7 linked regions of the Kluyveromyces lactis genome follow. The protein of the gene in region 1 interacts with the protein of each later gene in a biochemical or structural test. Links are inferred from orthologs where the notes say so. Each region holds a gene or a part of one and is shown in the gene's direction. Other genes may lie near its edges. The genes, in order: PHO85, SSD1, SHS1, PAH1, RVS167, ASH1 and VIP1.

Region 1 (3,021 bases):
AGAAAGCTGCAATGGCGATATCTTCAAAGACATGTTTCTTTGGATCAGTACTTTCCGCCCAGTTATCCACCAAGAACTTTGAGTATTTCTTCTTCAAATGGATATACTGGTCCTGGAACAACACTTTATCCACGACAACGTCATGCATTACCCGTTTCGCATACCCATCTTTGACACCTTTCGAATGCTTGTATGCTGTTTGTAATAACCTGAAAGCAGTTCTTACCACCCGTTGTTTTGGATCGAAAAGAAGCTCTTTTTGCCCTGCGAAAGGGATATAATGCACCGATAGCTGGTGATCATGCAATAGAATCCCTACTGCAGCCACTTGTGGGATATAAAACGGACATAACTCAGCATTATCAAAATGTGGGATGTAAATTACTAAAGAGGTTGAAGCATCTGAGTTGGAATTCATAACCAAACACGTCTGATTAATGATAGCATCCTTGAATGGATTCCTCGGAACAATCCTCCTAACAAATTGGAACTTTGTGGTAACATCAGCCAACGCTATCGGTACAGATCTCGGTGCTAGATCATCGATGTTTACTTTCAATATACCCTCATCGCTTCCCAACGCGATGTCTTTCTTCTCTGATTTCACACATGAACCAGACTCTAAGTCGTATTCATTGTCTATAAGCATATCTGCACGTAGAATAACAGTCGAGTTTACATTAGGCTGCCTTATCACATTTAGCATAGCTTGTTCGAAATGTGATTTATCGAAGTCGACAGGTTCCGCTGTCGAATATAAAGATTGCCATTCTGGTCCCAAAATACTGGATTTCTCCACGGTATAATGAAGCGTATTCGAGGTCATATCAAACTTACGTCAACTCTACCTGTGCACAGTCTATATGGTTCTCTATATCCTGGTATTCCATCGAGTTCTTCGAGTCTGCGTTGAAACTGCTTATTAGTTGATGAATCGATGCCCTCTTTAAATTTTTCACTTCGAACGTTACTCATGCTCTAAAGGCACCAGGAATTCGAAGCAACATACAAGATATCTTCCTGCCTTTAGCCATATAACCACTTGGAAGTTGTTCAACATGAATATTATTATTTACTACTGTAAATGAATGGATAAGATTTCCAGGTATTAAAGCGTAATTGTGTATTTACTCCTGTCTAATATTAGAAGATCTTCAAGTAGACTTTTGTCACTGGCATTATAATTAGCAAGTACAGGGGAAAGAAGAGTTTTGAAATGGTACGCATATATAATTAGGTAGTAAACTATCTGAGATGGACGCCACAACTGCCAAACCTCAAATATTTCTGTCCTCTTCTAAGTTACTTCCTTCTGTATCCACTATTTTATTCTAGATAACACCATTCTTAAATATTTGAAGATTTCAATTCCTATTTGAATCATTATCTCTTGAACAGATGTAAAAAGAGGATCCGATAATGGTTATATAGCTCTCAGGACCATTCCAAGGATCATCAATAAACATAAACTATGGTGGCACCATCTCAGTATGCAGTTTTGTGAATATTTGATACTGGCAGCGAGGAGTACAAAGCAGATGAGTACTTCTCCTTACCACTATAACTCTGACTTTTATACTAACGCAGCAATCGTTTGTCCCCTCTACTACGCTATGAAACCAGATTCAAGCAACTTGAAAAGGTTGGTAACGGTACGTATGCTACCGTGTACAAAGGATTGAATAAGACGACTGGTGTATACGTTGCTTTGAAAGAAGTGAAATTGGATAGCGAAGAAGGAACTCCGTCAACGGCCATTAGGGAGATATCGTTGATGAAAGAGTTGAAACATGATAACATCGTGAGGCTATTCGATGTGATTCATACTGAGAATAAGTTGACGTTGGTGTTTGAATTCATGGATAATGACCTTAAGAAGTTCATGGACAATAGAAACAAGGGAAATTCTCATAAGGGCTTAGAGATGGATTTGGTGAAATATTTCCAATGGCAGTTGTTACAAGGTGTAGCGTTTTGCCATGAGAACAGGATCTTGCATCGTGATTTGAAACCTCAGAACTTGTTGATCAATAACAGAGGTCAATTGAAACTTGGTGATTTTGGGTTGGCTCGTGCATTTGGTATCCCAGTTAACACTTTCAGCAGTGAAGTGGTGACTCTTTGGTATAGGGCTCCTGATGTGTTGATGGGGTCAAGAAACTATTGCACTTCAATCGATATTTGGTCATGCGGATGTATCTTGGCTGAAATGATTATGGGGAAACCGTTATTCCCTGGTTCCAACGATGAGGAACAGTTGAAACTCATATTCGATACGATGGGTACTCCAGTGGAGCAGACATGGCCGCAAGTGACTCAATTGGCTAAATACAATCCACTTTTGCCTCCACATATGCCTCGTGATTTGAAACAGCTATTACAAAACAATACGGAGGAAGTGTTGGACGATAATGTAGTGGATCTATTGCATGGTCTATTGCAACTGAACCCAGATGCAAGACTTTCTGCAAAGGATGCCTTGAACCACCCATGGTTTGCAGAATATAACCATGCCAACTAACGATTTTAGATTTAGATAGCCTTGCTCATCTAAAGATACAAACAAACAAATAAATAAATAAATAAGTGTATAGTAATCTGTAACCATTCCTTTTACTTTTTATATTACGGATTTATTGAATTACGTTGATGCTAGGCTGTCCTCCATATTCCATAATAAGTTTCATAACATGTTTGTCCTTAACGTCGACCAAGGTTTCCCATAAGACGTCCTGAGACAATAACAATGGTCTTGTTTCTTCCAACTTGTAGAATTTATTGATGAATTTGTTCAGGACACGTATTCTCCTTCTACTAAACGCCTCTTCGTCAGTATAATCGTCTACTAATAGCAACTCATGTAACTGCTGACCAGCAGGAGTCAAATATATGTTGTTGATTAGTTCGATTAAGGGTCCATTATTATCCAAGGATTTAGAAGGTAACACCGATGAGATGTGAGTTACCAAGATAATGGCATGGAATAAATGGTTGATGTTATATTGACCTTGGTTAGTATGG
Region 2 (4,074 bases), on another chromosome or scaffold:
TATTATGAATTGACAGACTACAGATATCCATCCAATTACGAATAAGTATATCGACCTGCATGAACTTTAAATTCCCAATCTATATAAATGTACAAATACCTAAACTCTTCAAGAAATAAAGTCTTTTTTTAGCGAAACGGAGACAACCTTGGACATGTATACGACAGTCACGCTGTAAGTGCTACTTTCGATGGTGCATGCCCAAGATCTCTCAAGCAGCTTCATTGTATATGAGGATGCCTTGTCTTTCAAACAGGCACATGTCCGGGTGACATTACTTGTGAGGCTAAAAATACTCCATATATTATTACATGTAAAACAGTGTGGATCCACCTCGTTTTAGATAGAATATAATAAATAATATGAAAAAACATGCTAATTAGTGACAATTTTTTAATATTCTACTTGCAATAGACTTGTTGAACTGACGAACGATATCGTTCAACATAATGTTTCGTTGAGCTATGGACGGACTTTTCATACTTCTTGACTTTGGCGTCCAATCTAACTGACTTGTTCCGAATTTGACTTTTTGCAAGTGGAGGGTAACAGAAAAGATTTTTTTTAGAAACTGCTAAAAGTGGAAATAGCTGATTTTATAAAATGAATTTTTGAAGAAGTTGAATTTAGAAGGAAGAAAAGATCAATTTAAGGAGTAAAGCCAAATTTGATCCCCCAAAACAGAACGGACCAACAGCTTCAAAGTCCTGCAAAGCTATCAATTATAGTTTATAGAGGGTTATTTTCTCTCTGCGAGTGTGTTTTTTTCTGTTTTCTTAGGATTATCTATCTTCGTTTTACTCGGGCTTGAATATTTCTTTCTAGTTCCCTTCTTTTTTTTTGGAGTTTTGCAATACCGTGTGATACAAGGTTTTCGAAAGCTTTGTCATCAGTGATATCATTTACTTGTGCTTTCACCAAACATTGTACGTTTTACAATTTGACTTATCCTCAAGTGAAATAGCTTCTCCCCTCCTTTTGAAATCTCTTTTTGTCATTCTGTCGATCTTCCCGTTTTATTGCTAATTTGAAATTGGGACTTTTTATTTTCTTTGACGATATACATTATTGGCTTTTAGTTAAATTTTCCTTTGAACGGCTCAATCACTTATAGTTTTTGGCACTGATTGATAGAACTACGTCTTGAATTTATTGGCGGAATCTTAGCGGATTATCTCGGAATCATAGTAACTATAGAATCTGTGACCTGGATACCAAAATATAATATTTACAACAATATCAGTACTAAAGGGCAAAATTAACCTAAAGTTATTATGCCAGAACAAGAAAGATTTGTTCAGACTACCGGTGGTAAGGGTACTCCGAAGCAAATTCACATTGCTCATAGGAAATCTCCTTCTGAACTTACGAATTTAATGATTGAGCAGTTTACTCTACAAAAACAGATCGAGAATAATAGTAGTGGCGGAAACTTAGGCGTACAGGGACAATCTGCCGCCAACTTTTTACCGCAACCACCCAACGTGCAGTATCAACTGTCCCCAAATTCAGGTAATAGAAAAGGCAGGTCTCATTCTAGAAGTGGTTCTGCATTCTACAACAATAACGATCACAAACAAAATCCTGCTGCAGGTGGACACAGAAGAACTGGCTCTCAGACGAGCGTATATGGACATTCCAGAAGACAATCCATTGGTTTGAATGAAGCCAAGAGAGCCGCTGCAGAAGAACAAGCAAAAAGAGAAAGTGGACCTCAGATCAAAATTGACAATGTTCAAGATATCCCTAAGTTAGTCGATGAAAATGAACAAACGAGCTTCAAATTCCCTGGATCTCCAACAACCGAGTCTAAGAATCTAGGTCACCGTAGAACTCAGTCAAATATGTCCCCTAATAGATCATTCCAGTTTCCACCTGCTAAGTTGAACCAAAAGGAAAACAATGATGATTTCATACCCGTTGGAACCCCGCATCGTCGCACTAATTCGAAAAATGAAGGTATCGACGGTAATTGGAGGTTGCAACAACAGCAACAGCAGGTATCGCCATTTCATCACTCTAGAACGCATTCAAGAGAATATTCAGGCCACCCAGGTTTGGAACCACCACCTGTCTTCCAACCAGGTCATAAATCACGTGGATCCAATGCTTCTTCCCACAGTTTTACCTCGGCAAATGGCCAGCAAAACTCCAATGGCCGTAAATCACTTTTCGCACCCTATTTGCCACAAGCTAACATTCCTCAACTAATTGAAGAAGGCAAATTGGTTGCAGGTATTCTACGGGTCAACAAGAAAAATAGATCGGATGCCTGGGTTTCGACCAACGGTGTGTTGGACGCCGATATTTTCATTTGTGGTTCGAAGGATCGTAATAGAGCTTTGGAAGGTGATCTTGTTGCCGTTGAGCTTTTGATGGTTGACGATGTCTGGGAATCGAAAAAGGAAAAGGAAGAGAAGAAGAGAAGAAAAGATGCAAGCACTCAACAAGATATTATTCCACTAGACTCTAAAGATGATTACCATAATGATGCTTCAACAAGTATTGTTACAAGCGCATCATGCTCTAGTGAAAATAAAGGATCAGATGCTACATTGGGATCTTCATCTGGCTCCATCAAAAGAAGAGGATCATTGAAGCAGCGCCCAACTCAAAAGAAGAATGATGACGTAGAGGTTGAAGGTCAATCTTTATTATTGGTCGAGGAAGAAGAGATTAATGATGATTACAGGCCTTTGTACGCTGGACACGTAGTCGCGGTGTTAGACCGTATTCCGGGCCAACTATTTAGCGGTACTTTGGGTCTATTAAGACCATCTCAACAAGCGAACAACGATGTGAATAAGCCAAATAAGCCGAAAATTGTTTGGTTCAAACCTACCGATAAGAAAGTTCCTCTAATTGCCATTTCGATAGAACAGGCGCCTAAGGACTTCGTCGAAAATGCTGATAAGTATCTGAATAAAGTTTTCGTTGCTAGCATCAAGCGCTGGCCAATCACTTCTTTGCATCCCTTTGGTACTCTTGTCTCGCAATTAGGCGATGTGAACGATCCAAAAACTGAGATTGATTCAATTTTGAGAGACAATAATTTCTTAAGTGATGAATATTTAGACCCTCAGGACCGTACAAAGGAGAGAGATAGTTTTGCACCTGTATTGCTTTCAGAAGAGCAAAGCAAAACAAGGCGTACTTATGAAAATGTCATTGCCATTTCAGAAACTGGTGAAGTTTCTGATTATGCGGTCCATTTAAGAGACACTGACAACGGTAACCTTGAATTAGGATTTCATGTTGTTGATGTAACAGTCCATATTGAAGAAGGTTCATCTTTGGATAGAAGAGCTAGGAAAAGATCTAGCGCTGTCTTCATGCCACAGAAGACTGTTGGTTTGCTTCCAGCCGCTCTGAATGAATTCTTAAGTTTGCAGCCCGAGAAACTGTCAAACACTGTCAGTATAATATATGAACTGAAGCCTGAAAACTTTGATATTGTTACAACGTGGATAGGCGAGACTCGTGTCAAGCCAAACACCTCATTGACACATGACAGGCTTAATCAAGAATTGGAGAGATCTTCAGCTTCGGGCTCAAAGTTTGTTGAGAAACTTGAGGCAGTGGCTAAAGAATTTTACCGCTGTAGGCTTAACTCCAAAAATGCTGATTTATACAGGACTTTGCCCCTTTTGGAATCTCTCGATGACGAGAAGGTTAAAGTTGATTTGAATATTTTACAACGTTCTAAAGCTTTGACCCTTTTATCGGAAATAGAGCGTAAAGTGAATAATACCGTTGCTACTCGATTGTTCACTTCCCTGGGAGATGTTGCTTTCTTGAGAAGACAACCAGAACCAATTTCTACCAAATTGAAAACGTTCCAAAAGAAAGTTGAAAAACTTGGCGTTGAGATGGATATAACAAGTTCTGAATCAGTTTTGAATTCAATTCTTGCCATAGATAATAACACTACAAGAATGGCGGTTGAGTTATTTTTATCCAAGACCTTAACACCGGCTAAATATTTCATATCTGGTAAAGTCGAACCTGACCAATTTGCGCATTATTCATTGAATTTGCCATTGTTCACACATTTCACAGCTCCTTTGAGAAGAT
Region 3 (3,626 bases), on another chromosome or scaffold:
TTCCAGTTTATTATCCACCTGTGATAATGAAAAGTCCGGTGAAGTGATTGTATTTACAACCGATTTACGTCTGGGGGCAAGCACGGGCGATTCCCTAGCAGACGCAGTGGTACTTTTCCCTGGCCTCCTCAACGGTGTTATTAACCCCGTTGTCTTGTCGTAGACTTTGTCGATGTTGAAAGATAATACCTGCCATAGAGGATCGTCCACGTTATCCCGTATCTTCCAGTTGTTCTCATCCAACTTCAAAAAATACCGATTGTACGGGCTCACGTCATAACTTAGCAATATCTCTTTCAATATCTGTTGAAATCGCTGAAACAATTCGATATTTGATTTGGGTACGTTCGATTGTTCATCTAAGGGTACGATTGTCACTAGAGCATCGTAAAGTTGTGAGAGACTTTGGAAATATTGCATATGACGTTCGTCCAAGGGTTTCAGCGATATAGGAGATTGCTGATTCGGACTAATCGTGGAATTCAATAGCTCGGGAAGCTCCAAGACTTCTCCGTTGGATATCAATTGGTAACCCTTGATCAAAAATACGTCGAGCTTGATCTGATGATGCATGATGCCTGTCGGACTACTATGTGAAGTGCTCCCGATATCAGACATGGCTCTTCCAGTATGTGTACGTAGCAGGGGAGGGCCGATCTTTGAAGTCCGTAACAAGCAGTTCAAAGACCTTAAGTATGCTGCCGCTTCCGCAGATTTTCTCGCTTACTGTGTATTTCTTTCTCTCTTTCTCTCTATCTTTCGTTTCGTTAAGGTGCAACATTTCCACATTGCATCACCTTATGTTCTAGCAAGAACTAAAAGCGACAAAATTGCAAAACAAAGACGCATCTCATTGAACACATAGAGCCCTTCTGCAAGGGCTAAAATCCGAAGCCTTTCATATGTAGACCAAGGCAGTACCAAAGCTAGCCGGACCTAGATCGAAGATCGTTATCAACTTATAACGTAATCCACTGACGGACATATACATTCACATCACTGAGACAGAAATATAAGTCACGTGAAGAAGTGGCGCCATATATATGTATATATGCCTTAGTTCCCCAATACATAGACTAGTTACGATATGTGGTTCATCGAACTGTAACCATTTGATGTTCCCATGTCACTGGTAACTTTTGTCCTTGCCTTAGGTATCTTTGAGTGTCTCATTTCCCATGGCTATGTTCGAGCCTTTTAATCGGTGAAAAGTTTCGAAACGGTTAATATCACGTAAAAGATATCAATTCCATATTTAAATTTAGACGAGAATGTAATTTGACTGAAACAACAACGTCTTTTGATAAAAAAAGTGTATTCTATACGTTGCAGAGCTACATTAATCAAGTGAACCATTGAACGAGACGAGTTTCAATCAATTGGATAGGAATCATTGTACTTTGGCGATTCTATTTAGAATATAATTGGAAGTGAAAAGTGAAGCCGTTTGATCTTGGAAGCAATAAAAAGATGTCCGCTAGTCCTGTATCTCAGGTATTCTCACCAAGCAACAATGGGGTCAGTGTGTTCCGTAGAAAGAAGGAGAAGAGAGGTATTACTTTCTCGATGATGTTGGTTGGTGCTTCTGGTACTGGTAAGACCACTTTCGCTAACAATTTATTGGAATCTACCATTTTCCCTCATAGATATCAACAAGATGTTCCAGCTAGCACGAATAACGAGAATGTTAAGATTATCCAACCAACTAAGGTTGTCACGTTCAATTCGATGAACGGTATTCCCAGCTACATGTCGGCATTTGATCCAGCCTCGCCGTTTTTGGAACCAGGTATCACTGTGACGTCTACTGCCCTGGAGATCACGACGAAATCTAGTGAGGATATCGATAGCGCTACCCCTGAAAAGATCAATTTCTTTCTCACCGACACCCTGGGACTGGGTGAAAACTTAAATAATGGGATCTGTTTCGATGAGATTGCTTCATATTTGGAGCAACAATTTGATTCGGTACTCGCTGAGGAGACCAGAATCAAGAGAAATCCAAGGTTCCAGGATACAAGAGTTCATGTCGCGTTATACTTTATTGAACCCACGGGACATGGGTTACGTGAATTGGATGTTGAAATTATGAAGAGACTATCCCGCTACACAAATGTTCTACCAATTGTCGCTAGAGCAGATTCGTTCACACCTGATGAATTGACTAGGTTCAAGAAGAGAATTATGGAAGACATTGATAGATTTAACGTTCCTATCTACAAATTCGAAGTTGACGAAAATGAGGATGATCTAGAAACAATTGAAGAGAACAAGGCATTAGCGAGACTTCAGCCGTTTGCTATTATCTGCGCCGACCAACGCGATAATGCTACCGGTAAATACTATCGTGAGTATCCATGGGGTAAAATTGACATCGATAATGAAAACATTTCGGACTTGAAATTGTTGAAAAGGGTTCTCTTCGGGTCCCATTTGCAAGAGTTTAAGGACACGACACAAAATCTGTTGTATGAAAACTACCGTGCTGAGAAATTGGCGTCTGTGCCAGCCTGGGACATTGAAAACAACGAAGTTATAGATACTTCTATCAATGACGAAAACAATGAGGGTAATTCTTCAGGGTTGATGAAAGGGTTGACTAGAAACAGTACAGCTCCATCCTTGTCAAATTTCGCCTCTCTAATAAATACAGGAAAGTTTAAGTCTCAACAATCACTTGCAATTCCACCTCAATCTGAAACCCCATCTACACCACGTCTAACCGGGGTAGATGAAGGAGATGAGTCTCGCGCTTCAATCTCTGCCAGTTCACAGAAATCTACTCCTGCCAATATTCAAACTTCTCCAGAAAGAACAAAGTTACGGAATATTTCCGAAAATATCCCATACATGCTTCAGCACGAGCGCATAGTAGCAAGGAAACAAAAGCTTGAAGAATTGGAGGCACAATCTGCCAAAGAGTTACAAAAGAGAATTCAAGAACTTGAAAGAAAGGCTATTGAATTGAAGATGAAGGAAAAGCTACTAAGACAAAACTCACATAGTCAATCTCAAGAATCTATCCAGACTAATACAACTAAACAAAATTCAACTTCTGGAGGTGCTTACATTAAGAAAGAGGAAACCTATAACGATTTAGCTTCGATAATCAGCAAAAAAGAATGAATTCAGTCTTGATATCTTTCTTTGGCATTTTTGTAAGTCGAAGTGTTTGGTTCCTGAAACGATTTCATATGTAATTTAAACAATATTGATTATTTTGTATATTGCAAACGGTCACGTCTAGATTGATCTGCTACCTGTTTCCAAATTTGATGAGTTTAAGATGGTGATGTAAAAATCAGAAAAATATACGTACTGTTACAGGTATATATATATATATAATATAATAATGAGTTAAGGTATTTTCGTGCCACTTATCAATAAATGGAATTTATCTGTTCAGATGACATAGTATTATGAGATAAAAAAGATTGGTGAAAAATTTATGTTCATCCAGTGCTTCAAGATAAAAAATAGCTAGTGTAACTGGAGAGAACTAAGAAAACCGAAAAATGCAAAATAATGTTCCCGATGGCAATTAAAAACATCAAGAAACAACATTCATTCAGCGACGATGAGAAAAGGCACTGGGGGAAATAATAGGAAAAGAGATTTAACCGAAT
Region 4 (4,271 bases), about 190 kb from region 1:
CTGGAGGAAGGGTTGCGCAAGGGTTTATACGGAGGTTACTCGGGTGCAATGCTCGGATCCTTCCCCAGCGCGGCAATTTTCTTTGCTACTTACGAGTACACCAAAAGAAAAATGATTGGTGAATGGGGAATAAATGAAACTTTCTCTCACTTAACTGCAGGGTTCCTTGGTGATTTCATTAGTAGTTTCGTGTATGTGCCCAGTGAAGTGTTAAAGACCAGATTACAATTGCAAGGCCGTTATAACAACCCGTTTTTCCGCAGCGGCTATAATTACAAAAACCTCACAGATGCCGTCACAACCATTGTGAGGCGAGAAGGATGGCCAACTTTATTCTTTGGTTATAAAGCAACCTTGAGTCGGGATCTACCGTTTTCTGGGTTACAATTTGCATTTTATGAGAAATTTAGACAACTTGCATTCGCAGTAGAGAATAAAACGTTTGATGAAGATTTATCTCTGAGTAACGAAATAATTACCGGTGCTGCTGCAGGTGGTCTTGCTGGTATCATAACAACTCCATTAGATGTTGTAAAGACAAGAATCCAGACACAGCTACCAGATATCCCTGAAAATAGTTCTCAGAATTTAAAGCAGCAAACGTTGACAAATTCCATTACGAAAGGCATGATGACCGTTTACAAGACAGAAGGTCTCGCTGGATTATTCAGCGGTGTTGGACCAAGATTTATTTGGACAAGTATACAAAGTAGTATCATGTTGCTATTATATCAAGTTGCATTAAAAACCTTGGACAGTAAGCTTTCAGATGAAAAGAAACTTTAACACCTGACAAACTATCCCCACCATCTTTATGAATCTCGCTTCGACAAATCACAACTGTTTATTCAACTGTATCACTATTCCTGTACAAAATTGCTGCTCTCATCAATAAAATGAACTCGTCGCTCAATTGCAAGTGATTGCGCGCTTTACACATTTTAATCAGTATTATCTATCTTTACGAATCATTAGAGATAAACTACTCGGTTCCTTTTCTCATCTGCTGGTGATTTTCCCAAGAATACACCTCGTAGCTAAGCTTAACATAAGGACGTACTGAACATAGTCTCCCTTTAAGAAATCCTTGTATATACATTTTCCATATTTCTTATTATTAAAGACATTCTTATAAGACGCCTTTGCTGGGTTATAATTGCAACTGTATTGCCTGTTCACCTGGCGATCACTCTTCAAATTATAAATCCATCTACCTCATTGAATTGTTCAACATCTCTATTCTTCCTTTTCCTGCATACTTTAATGTTTAGAATAAACGTTGGAAAATGTATGTAATAAAATGAAAAAGTGTAAACGATGTTATTTAAAGAAATGAAGCTAATATTGAAATGTCACAAAACGGGTATAGGTTAATTGGGGAAAGATAACTTCAAAACGCGCCTTTGCAGATAGTCTGATAAACTAGACGACACAGAGGCTTTGTTCTGACCATCCGCGATATTCGAAATAGATGCAATACGTGGGCAGAGCTTTTGACTCTGTATCGAAGACATGGTCTTCGATCAATCCAGCAACATTATCCGGAGCAATAGATGTTATAGTGGTAGAGCACCCTGATGGCGAGTTGGCATGCTCGCCATTTCATGTTAGGTTTGGTAAGTTTCAGATCTTAAAACCATCTCAGAAGAAGGTAGAGGTCTTGGTTAACGGACAATCAACGGACATCCCAATGAAGCTTGGAGATTCTGGTGAGGCTTATTTCGTGTTTGAGACTTTAGCTGACTTGGAAGGTATCCCAGACGAATTGATATCTTCGCCTGTTGTTAGCGCTGCCAGTAGTCCTGAGAGCAAGCCAACGACAAAGGATGATGCCCTTGAAGAACCCGACTTTTTAGATATCAATGATTCAAAGATTGAGAGACCAACTACACCGACACCAATCCAAAGAATTACTAAAACGCTAACACAGAAACAGATACCATCCACTGTTGATAATAATGGAGATCTATTACTTGATATTGAAGGTTATAAAACGAGTAAAAATAAAGTAAACGACACTGATGAATTGTTAAAACAGCTGTTGTACGATGAACTTGGAGAAGATGTAGACTTGTCAGAGTTTGTGAAGGAGGATGAAAAGGGAAACATTCGGATAGTGAACCCAACAGATCCATGTTGGGCTACTTCTCCTCCCAATTCTCCACCTATGACATCGTCGGACTCCTTGTATTCCGAGCATCAATCGGTCCTCGGTTACTCATCAAATGAAGGAACACCATCCTTTAGCACCGATAACAGTAGAGTTGAAGTCCCATCGGCTGCAACTGCAACAACACACTTTATCAAAACTATCAGATTAACGTCCAAACAGTTGAAATGTTTAGATTTGTCGAATGGTGAAAACGATTTAACATTCTCGGTAGATAAGGGACGAGCAATTATCACAGCAAAACTTTTCTATTGGAAGTGGGACGATCCAATTGTGATTTCCGATATTGACGGTACAATTACTAAATCTGATGCCTTGGGTCACGTCCTAACCATGATTGGTAAAGATTGGACTCATCCTGGCGTTGCGAAGCTTTTTACAGAAATCAGAGGGAACGGCTATAACATCATGTATTTAACTGCCAGGACGGCAGGACAATCTGATTCCACAAGATCTTACCTAAGAAGTATTGTACAAAATGGTTGTACATTACCCATTGGGCCGGTTATTCTCTCGCCAGATAGAACAATGGCAGCATTGCGAAGGGAAGTTATTCTAAAGAAACCTGAAGTGTTCAAAATCGCATGTTTAAAAGACATGAAGGCATTGTATTTCCCAGAATCTAATAACCGAAAAGATGATGCTGATGAGATGCCAACTCCTTTTATTGCTGGTTTTGGCAATCGTATCACAGATGCCTTGTCGTATAGAACCGTTGGTATTCCAAGTTCTCGTATTTTCACTATCAACCCTGATGGGGAAGTACATATGGAATTACTAGAGCTAGCAGGATACAAAAGTTCCTACATCCATATTAATGAACTTGTAGACCATTTCTTCCCGCCTGTCAAAAAGTACCCATTTGTCGCTGAAGATGCTCGGAGTATTTCAACAACTCCGGGTTCGCCGTATGGAACAAACATAATGCATGATGAAAAATCATTCTATCGAGCCAATGATGAGAAGTATACCGACGTAAATTACTGGCGAGAACCAATTCCCGACCTTGATGAACTCTCTGATCTAAGCAACGATTCTGAGAAGGCAACCTCTCCATCGAAAGAAATTTACAACGAAGGTATTAGGAACAGTACAACCAATGGTACTGCTAACCAGACTAACAAAAATAGATTGTCTGTGCATGAGCCTCGGGAAGGCAATGACACGGAACTGTTGTTGACACCTCGGAGAAAAAGTGATCCTGATAATATTGGACAAAGGATGTACCTGAACCTGGGATCGCCGTTATCATCTCCTGTCCTCAAGGTACAAGACTCTGATCTCGATATGAATACTAATTCACCTTACAATAATGGATATTCTAATAATTCTGAACTATCCCAAAAGAACCAGCAGCCTTTGAAAAGACATTCATCTAGTGAAAATAGTATTTTGACTTTTGATCATCTTTCTGCCCGCACGCCTTCGACGCTAGAAGTCCAACCGGTTAATGTATATAACGATGGATCGGGACCAGTAATGGGTCAACTGCAGTCGCAAACAAGCCGTAGAAATACTAATTCATCGAATTCAAACAATAACTCTTTTGATAAGGAAATACCAAGCGATGAAAAAGGACATAATCCGGATCAACATTTCTCTGAACAAGAATCTTTAACAACAGATCAAGGTTCCGAAAACATCTCGGATGAATATGAAGATGAATTTGATGAAGACGAGTTTTGACTATTTTTCAAGGAACTACAAATACAGTCCATCAGGATTATACAGACATTATGTACCTCAGTGCAGAACATCATGAATTTAATGACGGCATGAGTTGAAAAGCACGAGAGTAAAAATGCCCAAGAATATTGCTTGCAATACCCCCAGTTTTGAACTGTTACTATGTTGGGAGTCGGATTAACATTTCCTCATTCATTCAAAGTACCTAGTCACTCGTATTTAGAAATAATATAAACTTCAAATCGGAATGACCCATATATGTAAAAAATTTCTAACCTAGTTTGACAATCTTCCTATCCAGCTGATGGAGTAATTTCAATATTTAGTAATGAAATCGCTTACACCTGTTGGTAAAATTTTGACGGAGATTGATTTCTACATTTTTATTTACTTCTATGTCTTGTCATGTCGCTGG
Region 5 (3,023 bases), on another chromosome or scaffold:
TCCTTTTGCCAAATTTCCAAACTATGAAAGTTTAAATCCTTTGGATTCATTGCTATTAAAACCCCAGAAATTACACCAGTATCGTAACCGAAAAGCATCCCACCAATTGTCGAACTAACAAACATAATACCCGTCCTCCATGTGAATGGGTATGGTCGTTGTTCAATATCATTTGCAGTGGTGGTGGTCATCTGAGAGAAAGTGGAGTACAAATCCGAATACACATCTTCGACACTGCTATCTCGCTGCGGTGAGGAAGATCGTACAATATCGTCCACCATAATACGGTACCAGGTTAAGAGAATATATGCTGGATTTTGCTGTCCAACGGATTGTAAGAACGCCGCTCTATGAACAGATCGGTGGGATATTACAGCAAGTGTTTAAAGTTTGTAAATCTTTGTTCGAGCCTTGGAGTCAGAAAATGGTTTAAATCCCATTCGGTAATTTAAAGTGTCATTTACTATATTAAGACATTAAAATGAAAAGAGGACAAACAACATCTCCAATGACAGTAACTTCTCGAAACTACTTGTAATATCCATAACGAAACAACCGTTATGTAAAAATATACCTAACTTATATCCTACCAAGAATCTTGCTGCACTTTATGTACCTTGCTCCACAACTATTCTCAACCGAAGGGTACATTGACTATTAGCCTAGAGTCAGCAGGCCTAAAAAAAAACAAGGTCAAGCTTGCAGCATATTTGAGTGATACGCACTCAAATTACAACCAATAGGAGAACCAATGGGCGTTAATAACAGTATAGACCATCCCCTTAACTTTTCACAAGCCTACTGCTCAAATGCATTGGGCCAATTTCCGATGAACTAAGCCAAGCCTTTTTCCTTTCTGTACGCTTTTGCCGATGCACAATACAATTTCAAAAAAATTCAAACTTTGGACAATTTCAATTTCATCACTTTGGAAGGGCATGTAAAAGGGGCAAACTTGAAAGGCAACTGAAGCGGTATATATATCTAATCAGCGTGTCAACGAGTTGTCTGTTAGAGCAAATCTGAACTTAAATTAATCTTTCGAAGGACAAACAAGCGTCTTTGTCGAGGGAAAGAAAGTTAATTTATTATAAGGGCAAAGAGAGAGAGCACTCAAATAAAAAACACGAAGAACGTGAATTTAAACAGATAAAAAGCGTTAAGTTTTGAAGTTTAGAGCGTATACAGCGAATAAGAAAGCAAATAACAATCAATATATTTTCCCCCTAGAGAGTCATGTCGTTCAAAGGTTTTACAAAAGCTGTCGCCAGAGCACCCCAGTCTTTTAGGCAAAAACTGAACATGGGTCAGCAGACTGTTGATCCTGTTTATGAGGATGCTGATCGTCGTTTCAAGGAATTGGAATCGGAAACGAAGAAGTTGAGCGATGAGTCAAAGAGATATTTCAATGCCGTGAACGGTATGCTAGAGCATCAAATTGGATTTTCTAAGGCAATGTCGGAAATTTTCAAGCCAATTAGTGGTAAGATGTCCGATCCCAATGCCGCTGTGCCAGAAGACAATCCAGAAGGTATTGAAGCGAGTGAGCAGTACAGTGCAATTGTTTCTGAGTTGCAAGCTACTTTAAAGCCTGATCTAACTCTGATTGACGAGAAAATTGTTAAACCAGCACAAGAGCTTTTGAACATTATTAATTACATTAGAAAGATGTCCACCAAGAGAAACCATAAAAAGCTAGATTTGGATAGGAGCTTGAACACGTACAACAAATATGAACAAAAACAGAATCCAACGCCAAAGGATGAGGAGAAAAAATATAAAGCCGAGGCTCAAGTCGCCGTAATGCAACAAGAATACGACTACTACAACGATATGTTGAAAACTGAATTACCTATACTTTTCCAATTGGAATCAGAGTTCGTGAAACCATTATTTGTTTCATTCTACTACATGCAATTGAATATCTTCTACACCTTATACAACAGGTTCCAAGACATGAAGATCCCATACTTTGACCTGGATACTGACATCTTGGAGGCATTCCAAGCTAAAAGAGGCAACATTGAAGAGCAAACAGATGCACTAACCATTACTCATTTCAAGCTGGGATACTCGAAGGCCAAACTAGATTTAACCAGAAGAAGATATGGTGCTACTGACGACTCAAGTCCTGGAAGTCCAATGAGCCCACCCGCATACGGCCAAACATACGGTCAGCCTGAACAGCCACAACAGATGGGCTATGACTCAAAACTACAACAGCCGCAACAGCAACAACAGTATCCAATCGGAGGTGTTGCAGGTGCCGCTGGTATCGCAGGATACAATTCGGTGCCCACCACTGCGACCCAGGCATCATACACTCCTCCCACTAGTGCAGGAGTGGAGACATGTACCGCTTTATACGATTACACGGCCCAAGCCGAAGGTGATTTGACGTTCCCTGCTGGTGCCATAATCCAAGTCGTGGATCGTTCCGATGCAGCAGGATGGTGGGTCGGTGTCTACAATGGCGTCCAAGGTGTATTCCCTGGGAACTACGTCGAACTATCGAAACAATAATGAAAACAAAAGAAAACTAATCTCTTGGTCACTTTCCATTCCCTTTCTGCTGTGTATAGACTGAACTTGAAAAAAATAATAAAGCAAAAGAAAAGCTCTCCTAGCCTGTAGTTACTATATACTCTAACCTTGTTTAATTCAAGAATGCCCCATAGCTTTTAAAGGATACAGAATGCACATCACTATCGACGGAATTGACGATATTTGGTCACCTGGCAATAGTCAGACATTGCTTCATGGAGACGAAAGGGGTTCGTCAGAACCCCTGTCTACATGCCCCTATATTTCTACACATCACCAGTAGCAGAGCCAGCCACTAAAATCACACTGGTTTCCAAGCACACAGCAGGTAAGATGGAAAAGAATTCCATGAGAAAGTACACTAAGCCTTACTGCAGGAACAGAAAGAGATACGTCTCTATATATACTTAAAACCAGCTATGTATTTCAATGCAACAATTAGCTCCCACCATCACAACTGCTCCCACTGCAGTGCACAC
Region 6 (3,267 bases), on another chromosome or scaffold:
CCGGTACCTGGTATCACATGGAAATCAACCGCGGTGATAACGTGCTGCGTCAGTACCACTCCAGTTTGCCATGCCTGAAGGAATTGCACTGCCTGTCCAAACGGTTGGGAATTGAATATTATTTTGCACTGATGTGGGTTAAATAGCTGTAGGAATTGTTCCAACTTTGCTGGATCGGGCTCATCTAGATGAGCCAGTACTTTCTTCACAAAAGTCTCCACGATTTGAGGTTGACGATTCATTTTGATAATATCAGTTGATGATGCTTTAAAGAGATTTGCTGATTTTTATTGAAGGCTTTGATAACGTTTACCTTAATACTATTAATTTCAACATCGATCAAAAATTTTATTATTAAATCTATGGAAAGAAGTCTTCTTCTCTCCAAATTTCATCTTGGGTAAATTCAATTGACTAGCTTCATCAAATGCGGGTAACAAACAATATATGTACGCGTTGTAATTTCCTTGATGATTTTAGGTAGACCCTGATTTCAAAATCTCTCAAATGAACACATGCAAACACAACTCTAAATGCTGATCGACTCGAGCAAATATCTAGCGTACATATTGTAGAGTCGGATTTTTCTTTTCCTTATGTCTCTTTTGCCAGCACTTTTGTCAAGCTGCCTCGCGCACTAGTATTCTTTTTTTTTTAAATTCTATTTTCTGCTTGCATATGTGAAGAAAGTGTAAACATGAAAAACCCAGCATCGAAATGTAAATCCATAATACCAGCCGAACAGATACCAAGACTTGGTGTGGAAAAATAAACATAAACAGAGATCTGAAAGCTAAGTGAACATCGCTGCGCGATTCCATTACATGATATATGATTTTGTAAACAATGGTTGACTAGTTTTGATCAATTTTATAGCCGGTAAGAGAAAAAGAAGTATATCTTTTGTCTTTCCCTTTAGTTTTGCAGGCATAGAACAAGTATGAATTCTTTTGCCAAATCGAAAAAAATTCGGTAAACCCTCTGCGGGTTTGGCGCAGGTATTCTTTGTTTACACTTTTTTCTGTTTCATCGATATATGGATTCCTACTAAGTTTGCGGGACTGAACTGATTGAAATTGGTTCAGTATCCCTAGAGTATATAAACCAGAATCCAAATCTGGGTTTCCATGGGACAATTCTTTCAGATCGATTGGAAAGATAATCCCCTTATTTTTACTGAATTAGGTATCGTGGTTGATATATGACAGTTCTAGCTAATCCTTATAAGGCCTGATATATTTCTTCACTCTTCAAACACTGGTCCTGACAACTGTGTTACACATCAATAATTTACTTCAATTAACACCGTAACTTGTTCCCCATTATAGAGCATCGAATCAGCTCATTTCCCATCGCTTCGACCTTTTCACTATTCAAGCTAACGATGTCCACTATTTCGAACCCTTTACCATTCACCAATCCTCACGCCGAGCAAAAGTTCTACGCAAGAAGAAAAAGATCCTTTGATGATCTATTATTGCCATCTTTAAGTACCAGTTTGAACGCCCCAATGACATTAGAAGAATCGCCATATTTCTTTGACGCCCGGAAAAAATCTAAAACGGCGCCAGCCTCACCTTCTGGATTCGTACAAATCACGCCTACTACATCACCAGTGTCCGCTTCATCTAATTCTTCCATATGGAGACAGACAGTATGTGAGGGAAGCAGCATTAGCAGCAACAGCAGTAACAATATTGGAAAATCAACTCAACTGCCTTCCTGTTCACAACTACAGAATGAGGTTGCGCAACCCTCGCAACCAGCACTACAACCATTAAAGCATCTAAAGTTATTGGCACATCCTAAAATACAAGAGTTTTCGTACCTCTATCCAGACACTTGTGCCTCCACGCCTCTATGGAGGCAAAACTTAACAGAGTGGTGTAAGGAAACTAATTACACTCAGTACCAAAACATTACAGATCAGGTATCTCAAGCTAATCCAAGAGCTGGTAATTTTACTCATGGATTAAATATTTTAGCCGATGCTGCTAGAATATCATCGATCAATACTTCACCAGATGAATTCTATCAACTTTCAAACACTTCAAGCTCCAGCAAAGTACTGGTAACCCCACCAAGTAGTCCTCCCAGACAATTCACTTCTATGATCAGCGAATCATTAGTTAAAGCGGTAAAGAAGAACCGTTCCTCAAAACATAAGAAGACCAACAGTTTTAAAGCAAGAAAACTGAAGAAGATGCTGGATCAACGCATATTGCTTACATATGAAGACAAATTCGAATCACAAAAGTCGGTATTTAAGGCTAATCCTGCACCACCAAAGACCCCTCCACAAAAGAAGATTACACTATCCACAACTCCAAAATCTCTTCAATCTCCCCAACAGAGATTTCATCCTATTGTGATCAACAGCGTGGAGGATTTCGGCGAAAAGACTTCGGCGAACTCCAACTCAGAAGACGACACCGACCAAGAGCTAGTCCAAACATCTCCCAAAAGCTCTCCAACACAAAGGCGTAACTCTCATAGATTTTGCGTTTCATGTCACATTACAGATTCCCCGTGTTGGAGACCTTCTTGGTCTAAAAGCAAACAAGATCAGCTTTGTAATTCTTGTGGGCTCCGTTATAAGAAGACCCATACAAGATGCACCAATGAAACTTGCCGTAAAATACCTTCAAAAGGTGAATTGACACTTATGAAATCAAACAAGCCAGTTTCGATTGAGGACGCTGACGGAAATACTGATTACAAAATAGCATGTTTGTTCTGCGGTCACGCCGTTGCTACTGACGAATAGGGCAGAAAAGCCTGATAAAAAAACCAACCTTCCTTGCATAATTAACTGATCCCAACTTTCAACGGAGCTTTTTACCTTCTAATATTGCATTTATAAATACTTACTTCTCTTTTCCCTTGTTTGTCCGGATAATATTTCCACTATTCCCTTTCCCTTCAATTCTAACTAATTTGATTAATATAATGATATAATCTAAACATATATTCTTCCTATAATTTATCTAATGTAGCGTAAATTAATATTTTCACACTTCTGATCTTTGAGCATCAATATCATAGGTTGATATTGATGACTGGCACTTAGTAGCTGCTTCAGACCTCTTCATAAAGTGAATGATTTTTTCTTTCTTTTCATTAATATGCCATTTACGTCAAGATCGATGTATGTTCGCTATCTGAAAATGAAAAAAAAAAAAAAAAAAAAAAAAAAAAACTTCATCAAAAATATAAATAACTGGAACCGTCAATATCTCATCACTTGCTTTCGTTTTGCTTTAATAT
Region 7 (4,248 bases), on another chromosome or scaffold:
TCTTGCAACACCACCATTCACTTCCTTGTGAATGCCTTTTAACACTTGAACACGTGAGCGATGATCTAAGTCATAAAAGATCAAATCACCACTGGTTGATGCTACTGAGATATGAGAAGCACCATCCGTTCTGAAAGAGATTGAAGAAATTCTCGTCGGCGTTTTAATGGTTCTGATTTTCTTACCCTTACGCAAATTGAATAAAATAACTTCACCAGATGATGTACCAAAGGCAACGATGTCTAAAGCAGGTGCAGGTTCAGCAGTGGTGATCTCATCGGGGAACTCATCGGAAGTGTACAATTGTTTTCCGGTCCGAACGTTAAACAAGGTGAAATTAGACTTAGTCACAACGAGCAACTTGTTAACATATGTTGGTAAATGCACCAAATCAACAATATCACCACCTTGTAACTTACCAATGGTGAAATTGGTGTATAATTCAGTAGCGAATTTATCAGATGGGGAATTTTTCTTATAGATATAAACAACATTATTATCTGTAGAAGCAATCAAATATTCACCGAAAACGTTAATTTTGGTCACCACGGTATTTGGATCAGGTAATTCAATCAAATGTTCTAGCTTACCTCTCTTATAGATCCCAACTTTATTCTTAAAACTTGCATAAACGTAATGAAAATGCGCTGCCAAACAAGTAATGTCTCCCTCTGTCTCCTTATCTGAAACGAATAGCAGATGCAAATTATTGGCATCAAAGATCTGAAACGACTTACCAACAGAAGTCACAATGTAGAAGGTCGTACCTAGGGTACCAATCGCATAAGGAACTCCAGTAGATACATTACCTACAATTCTATACGGAGAAAATATTCTGGAAGCATGTTTCCTAACAGCGCCGGAAGAACCAACTCTTCGTTTCTTTAACGATCCATCCACTGTCATGATTGCTAATGCACTGTTCTGTGACTTTATGCAATCGCTTAATTAACTGAACAACAAGCGAATCCAGTAATTAGCTGCTGACGATAGGTATCTATCTCATCTCATCTCATCTCATCGCTTCTTTAAAACGTCGAGCTTCGAAATTTTCATCGCTGAAACAGAAAAAGAAATCAGAATATCACGTGACACATAAGGGGGATCAACCTGCAAATGTGATTCTTAGACTTGGATAGAGAAGATACTATGTAACTTCACCATTAGATGCCATTAGATAGTAACCATACCACAGTCTGAAATCTCACTAGCGAAACACATGGAGGTGTTGCTTAGATACTGGTCTTTACTTCAGAATTACTCACAGTTTTCTATCAAGTTTTCACTATTATCCTTCACATATAAATTTATATACAAAATTAAACACATGGGGAATAATCGTACCATGCATCCGCTTATAACAGAAATCGATTAATTGCAACGATCTACAAAATAATTTTAACTGAAGTTTCAGCATTGGTTATAATCAAATTGCAGAACTGCCAGTCATGTCTTCTCCAGGTTCAATTTCTGATGAGGGTCAAGAGGCAATCAACGGAAATACCATGCCTCCACTGTTTTTAGATTCGAATACGAAAAAGGCTATGGAATCGATCGCTCCTATCCTTGAAGGGTTCACGCCGAAGACCTCTTCTAGTGAGAATAAGTCGTTGAAGTTGCCACCTGCTGGTTTTACCTCTGATGATGATGATGAGACAAATAAGCTCGTCAGAACGCTTAGTATTTCTTCTACTGGTTCGACAGGTCGTCATATGACTCCCAGTGTCCTAGGCACCTCATTCGATAGCATGAATGGTAACAAGCTTCAAAGACTGAAAAGTAACCAAAGTGGATCAGCATCAGTTTCTGCTATTCTGGAAGGATCGCCTAGTCCATCTCCTATGCTGGAAGAACCTCATGCATTCCCCTTCATTCCGCAAGCATTAGTCTCTAATGAAGCTGTCACAACCAACACTGACGGATCAACAACTCCAAGTTCGACAAATTCTTCGAGGAAAGCTTCAACTTCCTCGTCCAAGCCTCAGCTACCAAAGATTGGTAAAATTGGTGTTTGTGCCATGGATGCGAAAGTGTTATCCAAGCCATGCAGACATATCTTAAACAGACTAATTGAACACGGTGAGTTTGAGACTATAATTTTTGGCGATAAAGTTATATTGGATGAAAGCATTGAAAACTGGCCTACTTGCGACTTTCTAATATCATTCTTTTCCAATGGGTTCCCTCTAGAAAAGGCTATCAAATATGTCAAGTTAAGAAAACCATATATCATTAATGATTTGATTATGCAAAAAGTATTGTGGGATAGAAGGTTGTGTCTCAGGTTGCTGGCGGCAAGCAACGTACCTACCCCTCCTAGATTGGAAATTACAAGAGATGGTGGTCCCAAAATTGATGATGAACTGAAATCTATGCTTGCCGAACGTGGAGTTATTGTTTCAACTGTTCAAGAACCCAACTGGAGAATGGTGGACGATGACACCTTGGAAGTTGAGGGTAAGGTGATGACCAAACCATTCGTTGAAAAACCTGTGGATGGTGAAGATCACAATATATACATCTATTATCATTCGAAAAACGGAGGCGGTGGGCGTAGATTATTCAGAAAGGTCGGTAATAAATCTTCCGAATTTGACCCTACTTTGATTCAACCTCGTACTGAAGGTTCATACATCTACGAAAAATTCATGGATACCGATAATTTCGAAGATGTGAAAGCATACACTGTAGGTGAAACTTTTTGTCATGCTGAAACCAGAAAATCCCCTGTAGTCGATGGTATTGTGCGCAGAAACACTCACGGAAAGGAAATTAGATATATTACTGAACTTTCTCCAGAAGAAAAAGAAATGGCTCGTCAAGTGTCGAAGACGTTCGCTCAAATGATCTGTGGTTTCGATTTATTACGTGTTGAGGGCAAGAGTTATGTCATTGATGTTAATGGGTTTTCATTTGTCAAAGATAACACAGAATACTATGATGCCTGTGCCAAAATTTTGAGAGATACCTTCTACAACGCCAAAAAATTGATGGACCTAGAAAAGCGGAACCTTCCTGCAATTCAAGAGGAGAAAACTCAAAAATGGGTATTTAAGGGGCTAGTTACTGTTATCCGTCATGCAGACCGTACACCAAAACAGAAACTCAAGCACTCGTTTACCTCTCCGATATTTTTGTCTTTATTGAAAGGTCACAAAGAAGAAGTAGTCATAAGAAATATCAATGACTTGCAAATTGTTCTGCAAGCACTCAAAATTGCACAAGAGGAAAATGCTGAAGATCCAGCGAAACTTGCTGTCTTAGCAAACGCTTTGGAAAAAAAAATCAGTTTTCCTGGAACTAAGATTCAATTAAAACCAGTTCTGAACAAAGACAACGAAGTGGAGAAGGTTCAATTCATTCTCAAATGGGGTGGTGAGCCAACACACTCCGCTCATTTCCAAGCTGAAGAATTAGGTGAGCAGATGAGACAAGACTTTGATTTGTTAAACAAGAACATCTTGCACAACATCAAGATATTTTCTTCTTCCGAAAGGAGGGTTCTAGTTTCGGCCCAAATATGGGCCACAGCTCTATTCGGTGCGGATGAAATTAGTAGCGACGAGATCAGTATAAGAAAAGACTTGCTAGATGACTCCAATGCAGCTAAAGACCTTATGGATAAGGTGAAAAAGAAACTAAAACCATTATTAAGAATGGGGAAGGAGGCACCACCTCAATTTGCTTGGCCTGCTAAGATGCCTGAACCTTACTTAGTCATAAAGAGAGTTGTTGATTTAATGAACTACCATAAAAAAATCATGGATCACAACTTTGCTACAAAAAACGTTGAAGAAATGCAAACATGCTGGTGCTGTGCAGAAGATTCAATGCTATTCAAGGAGCGTTGGGATAAGCTGTTCAAAGAGTTTGTTACTGTGGATAAGGTAGATCCATCCAAGATTAGTGAATTATATGATACTATGAAGTACGATGCTCTTCACAACAGACAGTTTTTAGAGCACATCTTCATGCCTGATGATGATACTGAAGTTGAAAACGAAGAGGTCTGTCATCATTCTTTGGTTGACAGGTACCCCATCAATATTTTAGCTAGAAACAACTTCAAAATCCCAGACTCTTCTAATGCCCAAATGACTAACCAATCTTCCTCTAATTCAAAAAGTTCGAATAGTGTCGGATCTCTTGGATGGGTTCTTGAAAGTGTTGAAAGCGGATCCAAATCACCCCGTTCTTCGAATTCCACATTCGATGATCCGAAGTTCATTCAATTAAGGGAATTGTTCA

The links.
Region 2: of the proteins of PHO85 (region 1) and SSD1, one has a biochemical effect on the other in vitro, tested with the Saccharomyces cerevisiae proteins (2 studies listed by BioGRID). The link is inferred for Kluyveromyces lactis from reciprocal best matches to the Saccharomyces cerevisiae genes PHO85 and SSD1.
Region 3: of the proteins of PHO85 (region 1) and SHS1, one has a biochemical effect on the other in vitro, tested with the Saccharomyces cerevisiae proteins (2 studies listed by BioGRID). The link is inferred for Kluyveromyces lactis from reciprocal best matches to the Saccharomyces cerevisiae genes PHO85 and SHS1.
Region 4: of the proteins of PHO85 (region 1) and PAH1, one has a biochemical effect on the other in vitro, tested with the Saccharomyces cerevisiae proteins (9 studies listed by BioGRID). The link is inferred for Kluyveromyces lactis from reciprocal best matches to the Saccharomyces cerevisiae genes PHO85 and PAH1.
Region 5: of the proteins of PHO85 (region 1) and RVS167, one has a biochemical effect on the other in vitro, tested with the Saccharomyces cerevisiae proteins (2 studies listed by BioGRID). The link is inferred for Kluyveromyces lactis from reciprocal best matches to the Saccharomyces cerevisiae genes PHO85 and RVS167.
Region 6: of the proteins of PHO85 (region 1) and ASH1, one has a biochemical effect on the other in vitro, tested with the Saccharomyces cerevisiae proteins (2 studies listed by BioGRID). The link is inferred for Kluyveromyces lactis from reciprocal best matches to the Saccharomyces cerevisiae genes PHO85 and ASH1.
Region 7: of the proteins of PHO85 (region 1) and VIP1, one has a biochemical effect on the other in vitro, tested with the Saccharomyces cerevisiae proteins (2 studies listed by BioGRID). The link is inferred for Kluyveromyces lactis from reciprocal best matches to the Saccharomyces cerevisiae genes PHO85 and VIP1.

Annotation. Positions count from the first base shown.
Region 1 is NC_006040.1:1,022,395-1,025,415, reverse strand, and holds PHO85 (cyclin-dependent serine/threonine-protein kinase PHO85), read left to right. Parts: upstream 1-1,471; coding exon 1,472-1,488; intron 1,489-1,623; coding exon 1,624-2,521; downstream 2,522-3,021. Other genes in the region: TRM44 (tRNA (uracil) methyltransferase), read right to left, coding at 1-826; KLLA0_D11968g (uncharacterized protein), read right to left, coding at 2,634-3,021.
Region 2 is NC_006039.1:905,574-909,647, forward strand, and holds the start of SSD1 (mRNA-binding translational repressor SSD1), read left to right. Parts: upstream 1-1,274; coding exon 1,275-4,074. Other genes in the region: PUT2 (1-pyrroline-5-carboxylate dehydrogenase), read left to right, coding at 1-45. UniProt on the Saccharomyces cerevisiae protein: Can suppress the lethality due to deletion of SIT4, and partially the defects due to BCY1 disruption. Is implicated in the control of the cell cycle G1 phase.
Region 3 is NC_006042.1:1,938,219-1,941,844, forward strand, and holds SHS1 (septin SHS1), read left to right. Parts: upstream 1-1,470; coding exon 1,471-3,126; downstream 3,127-3,626. Other genes in the region: GCR2 (Gcr2p), read right to left, coding at 1-618. UniProt on the Saccharomyces cerevisiae protein: Septins are GTPases involved in cytokinesis that assemble early in the cell cycle as a patch at the incipient bud site and form a ring approximately 15 minutes before bud emergence, which transforms into an hour-glass shaped collar of cortical filaments that spans both sides of the mother-bud neck.
Region 4 is NC_006040.1:831,419-835,689, reverse strand, and holds PAH1 (phosphatidate phosphatase PAH1), read left to right. Parts: upstream 1-1,471; coding exon 1,472-3,856; downstream 3,857-4,271. Other genes in the region: MME1 (Mme1p), read left to right, coding at 1-786. UniProt on the Saccharomyces cerevisiae protein: Mg(2+)-dependent phosphatidate (PA) phosphatase which catalyzes the dephosphorylation of PA to yield diacylglycerol. Required for de novo lipid synthesis and formation of lipid droplets.
Region 5 is NC_006041.1:280,307-283,329, forward strand, and holds RVS167 (amphiphysin), read left to right. Parts: upstream 1-1,236; coding exon 1,237-2,523; downstream 2,524-3,023. Other genes in the region: CIN10 (Cin10p), read right to left, coding at 1-281. UniProt on the Saccharomyces cerevisiae protein: Component of a cytoskeletal structure that is required for the formation of endocytic vesicles at the plasma membrane level.
Region 6 is NC_006038.1:232,169-235,435, forward strand, and holds ASH1 (DNA-binding transcription repressor ASH1), read left to right. Parts: upstream 1-1,384; coding exon 1,385-2,767; downstream 2,768-3,267. Other genes in the region: MTR2 (Mtr2p), read right to left, coding at 1-242. UniProt on the Saccharomyces cerevisiae protein: Component of the RPD3C(L) histone deacetylase complex (HDAC). Responsible for the deacetylation of lysine residues on the N-terminal part of the core histones (H2A, H2B, H3 and H4).
Region 7 is NC_006038.1:251,105-255,352, reverse strand, and holds the start of VIP1 (inositol polyphosphate kinase VIP1), read left to right. Parts: upstream 1-1,448; coding exon 1,449-4,248. Other genes in the region: rRNA-processing protein UTP21, read right to left, coding at 1-906. UniProt on the Saccharomyces cerevisiae protein: Bifunctional inositol kinase that acts in concert with the IP6K kinases to synthesize the diphosphate group-containing inositol pyrophosphates diphosphoinositol pentakisphosphate, PP-InsP5, and bis-diphosphoinositol tetrakisphosphate, (PP)2-InsP4.